Linked DNA regions of Ovis aries. Each later gene encodes a partner of the first gene's protein in a complex. Links are inferred from orthologs where the notes say so. Each region holds a gene or a part of one and is shown on either strand. Other genes may lie near its edges. The genes, in order: KANSL3 and KANSL2.

Evidence for each region.
Region 2: KANSL3 (region 1) and KANSL2 share a complex: the UniProt entries of both Homo sapiens proteins name them as parts of the NSL complex. The link is inferred for Ovis aries from reciprocal best matches to the Homo sapiens genes KANSL3 and KANSL2.

The regions. Positions count from the first base shown.
Region 1 is NC_056056.1:103,885,391-103,889,203, forward strand, and holds part of KANSL3 (KAT8 regulatory NSL complex subunit 3), read left to right. Parts: intron 1-202; coding exon 203-277; intron 278-455; coding exon 456-613; intron 614-2,548; coding exon 2,549-2,612; intron 2,613-3,045; coding exon 3,046-3,246; intron 3,247-3,424; coding exon 3,425-3,581; intron 3,582-3,813. UniProt on the Homo sapiens protein: Non-catalytic component of the NSL histone acetyltransferase complex, a multiprotein complex that mediates histone H4 acetylation at 'Lys-5'- and 'Lys-8' (H4K5ac and H4K8ac) at transcription start sites and promotes transcription initiation.
Region 2 is NC_056056.1:137,506,168-137,509,980, forward strand, and holds part of KANSL2 (KAT8 regulatory NSL complex subunit 2), read left to right. Parts: intron 1-3,247; coding exon 3,248-3,415; intron 3,416-3,587; coding exon of another isoform or gene 3,588-3,591; coding exon 3,592-3,754; intron 3,755-3,813. UniProt on the Homo sapiens protein: Non-catalytic component of the NSL histone acetyltransferase complex, a multiprotein complex that mediates histone H4 acetylation at 'Lys-5'- and 'Lys-8' (H4K5ac and H4K8ac) at transcription start sites and promotes transcription initiation.

The DNA.
Region 1 (3,813 bases):
CTGGTGTAAGCAGACGTCCTGTGTCTGTCCTCTTACTGCCCTACTGTGTGGCTGGTACACCTGTGTCATCACCTCGGGGTCGTGTCATCACCTGGGAGTTACAACTGAGGAGGAGGAGGTGGGACCGGCCGGTGGCTTCTGGGTAGGCTGTAGCTGTGGGGAGGTCAGTTGGCCTTGAGGCAGGCCATGCCCTTATTTGCAGGTGTCGGTGATGGAATACGTCACTGCTGTCGTCTGCCTTGGGTTTCCTCTGCTTACCGTGGACGGCCCCAGAGGGGTAAGCGTGGGGCCTGTGGGTGCCGGGCCACTGGCCAGTGGGAGGACCGGAGTAGCAGCCTGCCCCTCCCGTGCTGCTGCTCGGAGGCCGCGGCTACCCGGGGGGCTCTGTTGAGTGGGCTTGCCAGGCAGTGTTGAGCAAGCATCAATTGGCTGACTGTAAAACCGGACCTGCTCAGGATGTAGACGATCCCCTCTTGGATATGAAGACTCCAGTCCTCTTTGTCATCGGTCAGAACTCCCTGCAGTGCCACCCCGAAGCCATGGAGGACTTCCGGGAGAAGATTCGGGCGGAGAACAGCTTGGTGGTGGTTGGGGGAGCTGATGACAATCTCAGGTGGGTAGGGTCCCTGGGTGCTGCCAGAGTGCCATGTTGGAAAGATTGTACCAAAAAATTCTATATACTGTTCACCCAGATTTCCCAAGTGTTAACATCTTGCGTAACCAAAAGTAATTGTCAAAGCTGGGAAGCTGACGTGGGTGTGACACTGTAACCTGGTCTGCAGACTCGCAGACGGCACTGTGTCGTCTCTGCGCTCGTCTAGTCCCGGGCCGAGTCCAGGCCGCGCAGGGCTGCCGGTTGCTGTGTCTCCTCAGCCTCCTCTTAATGTGACGCTGTTCCTCAGCCTATCTGTCGTGACCTTGACGCTTCCTAAGAGTGCTGTTCTGTAGACTGTTCCTCAGTTTAGGGTTTGACGTTGTCTCGTGATTAGGTTGCGGGCACACCTTTGGCAGGAATGCCACGGAGCTCATGTGCCCTGCGTGCAGCCTCGGGGCTGCATGATGTTGCTGTGTCCTGTTACCGGCAAGGTCACCGTTGATCACGTCGTTAGGGTAGTATCTGCCAGGCTTCTCTTCAGTTACTGTTTTTCCCTTTGTAGTTAGTAGTCTTCTTGTGGGGAGAAGATATCTCGAGATGCTGTAATCATAGTCTTTGCCATTGGGCTTTCACTGGGGTAGGCATTTCTTTACATTTTCTTCCTAGTAATACTGAGGATGAATTTGAACAAAGATTTTATTTGTCACAGGCATCCTTTTATATTTGGAGTATAAGCCACCAGAGTTTGGAAGCGATTTTAAGGGGGCATCTTTAGTCATTGAGATGGCCATTCTTCCCTTTCAGGGTCTGCCAGCGGGGCCTTCAGTTGCATTTTCATGAAATGTACTGGGAAAGGGATTGTGTCCTTTATCGGCCTCCTTTCTCACATGCTCAGTCTTATGTATCAGCTTCCTATCAGTGTTTTTACAGGAGAGCTTAGAGTGAGTGCCTGTTCCCACCTGTCTTGTCACTTTCTCACCCACAGATCCTTTGGAGAGAAGCCTTCCTGGCCTTTGTCATCTGACAGCTTCTTGTGGACCTAGAGTCTAATCCTTGGATGCTCAGGGCAACGCTTGCTTGTGAATACATTCTTTCTTATTAATTCAGTCATTCTTGCCTATAGGGGAATAGGCTGTTGAGTCGTGGCGAGGGAGTGGGAGGGGTGAACATGCCTTCCGTTCGAGTCGCATCATGAGGCTGCTTGTGAGACATATTTGCACGGCGCTGAGGGCGTTGGACTGAGAGTCAGGAGACCTCAGTTTACCTCCTGGCTCCTTTGCTTGGGTAAATTGCTTAACTTCTGGGGCTTGGTGTCCTCTTCTGTGATAGGAGCAGGTTACCCGACAGGGCTAGAGGCCGAACAGTAGTGAACTGGGGCCTCGGGATGTGGAGGCTCGAAGTGTCGCTCTCCGCCTTGTCACTTGCCTCTGTTTCTGTCCCTGCTGAGACCCCAGGCAGAAGCCAGGGCATTTAAGTCTGGCTTTCAAAGAGGAGAATGCAGCCAGCGGTGGTCGGTTTCTCTGATGGCTTTAGAACTAACCTGTGGCCACCTTTCCTGGTAATACCATTTCACAGCTCCTAGAAGTCTCAGGGTTTGGAACTGTATTGGGGTACCTCAAGATGAGGTCTTAGCAATCAGATAGAGTTCACCTGTGAAGCCGTAGGTGTAGGACTTCTGGAGTGAACAGTCCCAAGTACCTTCCATGTTTTCTCTGGTTTGTTACCTATGTTGCTTTGTGTCCTCCCCACCGCTCCATGAGGGAGGTACGAGGGTGCCTTATTTTGCAGATGTGGAAACTGAGGCTCAGAGAGGCTGCAGACCTGCCTGTGGGCTACCATCATCTTCCTTCTTCGGCTTAGAAAAGAACCAACACAGAAGAGAAAGCCGTTCTTATTTACATTTGTTCCTGTGAAATGTTTGGAAAGTAAAGATTTCTCTTTTTTGTCTCTTAGAATAAGCAAAGCAAAGAAGAAATCGGAAGGGTTGACGCAGAGCATGGTGGACAGATGCATTCAGGTACACAGCTGCTTTCCGTGGGCCTCTCAGCTGGGCTTGTCTGTCTGTGACCCTTTAGGCTTGGTCTCCTTGGCAGCATCCTCCCGACTCTGTGGAGGATTGGGTATCCCCTGGGGCCTTTCGGGGACCTGAGTCATAGGCAAAGAAAAGGGGGAAAGAGGGAGGGGAGGGAGGAGAGTAATGATCGAAGATGTGAGCACAGCGGGTGGGGAGGAAGGGTTCACTGAGGAGTGGTGAAGTGTGGCCACCCAGAATGCCACCCCACACCCTGGGCACAGGGCCTGGGCTCCTGCAGGTCCCTGGCTGAGTGTAGGGCTTGTGCCGGGCTTTGCGAGGTAGGAGGGACAGCACACTGGTTTCAGAGCTGGGGTGACTCCATTTTAGTAGGGACTGCTGGGGAGCTTCCTGAGGTCTGGGCTCCTCCTTTCCCCAGGACGAGATCGTAGACTTCTTGACCGGGGTACTTACTCGTACCGAGGGGCACGTGGGCTCCGAGCCTCGGGATCAGGATGCCGAGAAGAAGAAGAAGCCCCGAGACGTGGCCCGCAGAGACCTGGCCTTCGAGGTCTCGGAGCGGGGCAGTCGACCTGCGTCACCAGCTGCCAAGCTGCCTGCCTCCCCCTCGGGCTCAGAGGTAATGCAGGCAGAGAGGGGGCGCTGTTGCTGGGGAGTCAGCAGGGTGGGTTCCTGTGCTTGCCAGGCCTCGGAGTTCCTGCAGGGGGATCCCTGACCGGGGGCCTCCAAGGGGACTTGATGATTGACACTCCATCCAAGTGACCTTGGCTTGGCCCTTGTCCTCTCAATCTACTCAGGATCTCTCCAGTGTGTCCAGCAGCCCCACCTCCAGTCCCAAGACGAAAGTGAGCACGGTGGCCTCTTCCCAGAAGTCCAGTCAGATTGGAGGCACCCAGCTGCTGAAGAGACACGTGCAGCGGACAGAGGCTGTGCTGACCCACAGACAAGCCCAAGGTGCGGCCGCCTGGCCCAGGGGCCTCTCTTGGCTTCTGCCTTCTCAGTTGACGTCATGTGGCAGTTGGGAAGTATTGGCACCTGCCGCTTTTTCCAGACGTATCTGTCCATGCAGAATTAGGTTGGAATAAATACTGAGGGCTGCTTTCAAGGATAAACTATGACACAAGGTCTGTGCTGGTGTGACTGTGTGCTCCACTAATTATAGCCCCGTCTTGGCGCTCGGCAAGTT
Region 2 (3,813 bases), about 34 Mb from region 1:
TAGAAGGTAGTATGTGGATTGTAGTACTGCATGCTGTTAATAGATTAATAAGCTAGGAGGGTTGAAGATAGCTTAGCTATTTGTGAGCAGTAATAGCTTCTGCATATTGAAGTGTCATTATTCATCACCATCTTGCCTCAGAGTAGGAGTCAATTCTTTTTTTAGAAGTCTTGTAATTTGGGAAAATTTTTGGATATCAAATTCTACATGTGAGAAAATGCAGGGGGGAAATAGATTTATTGGACATAGGAGTTGAGAGGTGGGTAGAGATCAGAGAAGAGTGATGAAAATTTGTGCTTGACTTAAACCTCAGGAATGAAAAACTGATTATATTTGAGTAACAACTTTTTTACCCCCAAAGTTCTGATTAATTTATATTTTATTTACCTTTATATGTTTAAGAAAAATTAAAAGGTGTTTAAGAGCTTCCTTTGGTTTCATGCCTAAGAAAGAGAAACTGATTTAGAAACCTAGGAGTAATTGTCCTAATTACATCTTACTAAGGTTCTGCTCTTTACCTAACCCACGATCGCTTTGGAGTTACAGAACATTGCCACCCAGAAGTCTAATGTTTCTGTGTCTCATAGTTTGGGTTTAGTTTTTGTTTTTTCCTGACTTCTATCTCTTGATACTTCCCGCTGACAGTTTAGGTGGAAGAACTCTTAAATAGTGGGAGGGGTGATGCATTTCTAGACTTGACTGTGTTTGACAAATTCTTAGAATAGCATCTTCTTCATTCCTTGGATTCTGAACTTTATAAGAAGTCATTTAGGGTTCTATTTTCTGAGTAGAATAGTTTCATCTATTTTAAGTAATCTGAATTTAGAGAGCTATTCAGGAACTACTTGTTTGGAAAGTCCATGTAAGTAGTTTGAGAAGAAATGCTTGTTTCTAGCAGGATATTTTCACAGTAGAAACTTTATACTAAGCCACAGATAGATAGATAGATATAGATATTATATATATATATATATGGATGTGGATATAGATGTAATTTATATAGTTACATTGTGCTTCTGGAAATGCCATACTTGATTGTTTAAGTGATTGTCTTTGGGTGTGGTAAACACTCAGTTTGTAAGGTCCAGAAACTTTATTTTGTCTCTGCTAATCTAGAGTGGGTCAGTCTTCACTGATCTACATTTACGCTAACCTGACTTACATACAGGAGATCGGTGGTTTAGTCGCTAAGTCGTGTCCAACTCTTGCGACCCCATGGACTGTAGCCCGCCAAGTTCCTCTGTCCGTGGAATTCTTCAGGCACGAATACTGGATCTCCTGCATTGCAGGCAGATTGTTTACCGACTGAGCTAGGAGGGAAGCCCTTACAGGAGATTGTTACATGAAACAAAATACCAGTTAATTTTATGAGAAATAATAAGTGGTAAAAGGGCTAGATGTCAGTTTCCCCTGAAAGGAACAAAGGGCAAAAACAATTTAACACAATATAATAAGTGATTCCCTTTTTTGAAATTGGTCTAATAATAAACCTAGACTTATAGTTGTGCGTATCAGAGCAAGAAGAGTTAGTACATGATTTTTAAAATTAAAACTAGCTATGAATATTTGTGGCTCTATCTTTAAATAAATGACGCATTTGTCACATGATAGGCATTTACCTCGGAGAAGGCAATGGCACCCCGCTCCAGTACTCTTGCCTGGAAAATCCCATGGACGGAGGAGCCTGGTAGGCTGCAGTCCATGGAGTCGCTAAGAGTCAGACACGACTGAGTGACTTTCCTTTCCCTTTTCACCTTCATGCATTGGAGAAGGAAATGGCAACCCACTCCAGTGTTCTTGCCTGGAGAATCCCAGGGACGGGGGAGCCTGGTGGGCTTCTGTCTATAGGGTCGCACAGAGTCGGACACGACTGAAGCGACTTAGCAGCAGCAGTAGGCATTTACCTTAGTTAGGATGCTCATCTGCCTCCCCAAATGATTTGTTGTAAATTGTAGTCCCCAGTTAAATTCTCTTCTGAGGGTACAATGAAATTAATTTCATTCTAACAAATGATGTTAGGTTAAGGCCTCAATATTTTAGGGATTCAGGCATTAATGCAGATATGCCCCATTTTCTTGAATATGAATAACCTCATCACCTTGTTTAAACATTAGATAGTTTTGAAATTTTCACATTTTCTGAATCTTAGATTTTGCTGTTTTTATAATTTCAGAGTACTTTGTAGTTGTACTTTTCTTATACACAGGTATTATCTCCTGTTTATATATAAGAAAAGTTTTTGGCAGAGATTATTTGCTCTCAGTCCTAAAGTTAATAGTTTTATTCTGTGTATTTCAGTGATTTAAGAGTTAAATTTTAAAGAGCACATACTTTTTGGATTTAAAATTAGTATATAGTTCATGTATATTTTGCCTTTTAAATAATAGAAATAATTTTTACTAGATCAAAGTAGGAGAGTATCAAGTCAAGGTATATATCTAGCTGTTTTTCTTTTCTAGAATAAGGTTTTTTTTTTTTAAGTTTTGTTAATTCATAGTTGGTGGCAAAGCTTAATAAAGTTGATCTAGGTCTTTGGCAATTAAGGGTTTCTCCAGGGTACTATATTTTCAGAATATTGTCAAGAGAATGAGCTGAGGACATTGACTAGCCATTGGGATCAGTGTTTTGAGGGCTGGTATAAACTCCGAAATACAAGTGTAGCTTATTTTTATTTATTTATTTTTGGCTATGCTTTGTGGCTTATGGGATCTTAGTTGCCTGAACAGGGATTGATTCCAGGCCTTTCAGCAGTGAGAGCGTAGAACCCTAACCACTGGACCACCAATTAAAAGTGTACTTTTAAATTAGAAGTTGTAATTGTTTGTGATCTTTTGTACTTTAATTAAAATATATTGAGATACATGCTACTAAATTAACACTTTAATTTACTGGTAAGTGATTTTTTCTGTATTAAATTATTAAAGGGAACAAGACTAGATTAATAGAAGTTTTGAGTGTTCTGTATCTTTACTCCTGTTTAAACATAATGGAAATAACTGGAGAGCATAATGAAATGTTTTTCCTTATCCACATTTTGAGATCATACATTAGTATCCATTCTTGGGTAGTTTGTTTTTTAATGACAATAATAAAATTCTGTGAAAACATTTTTATTTAGTAAGGTGATTATCTTAGCACTGACTGCTTGTTGAATAGCAAACCTAAGTCTAACCTTTACTCTTTGCTCCTTTTAAGCTTGGGTCTTATTGTTGTGCCTTCTTATCCTTTTTGAATCATCTTATTCTAGACATGCTGGTGTCTATACAGCAGAAGAAGTGGCCCTGATTATGCGTGAGAAGCTTATTCGTTTGCAATCTTTGTACATTGATCAGTTTAAACGACTTCAGCATCTGCTCAAAGAGAAGAAGCGACGTTACTTACACAATCGCAAAGTGGAACATGAAGCTCTAGGCAAGTTTTATGCCAGTTCCAACAACCTGTCATGGGTTTAATCAACATGTAAATTTGGTAGTTAGACTTACTTCTTTTTTGTTACCTGGAGTGGAGAAGGATTTGCTTCTGAAACTGTTTGAAGATGCATCCTTGGTTGCTTGGCAGATAACATCTTGACTGTTTTGACTTTCCAGGTAGTAGTCTCCTGACTGGCCCAGAGGGACTTTTGGCCAAAGAACGAGAAAACTTAAAGCGTCTAAAATGTCTTCGTCGGTATCGTCAGCGCTATGGAGTGGAAGCCTTACTACACAGACAGCTGAAGGAGCGCAGAATGCTGGCCACAGATGGTGCCGCCCAACAGGTGATTTGTGTATATACCTCTAAGGTATATACACTTGCTTTTACAGAGAACACTTTGCT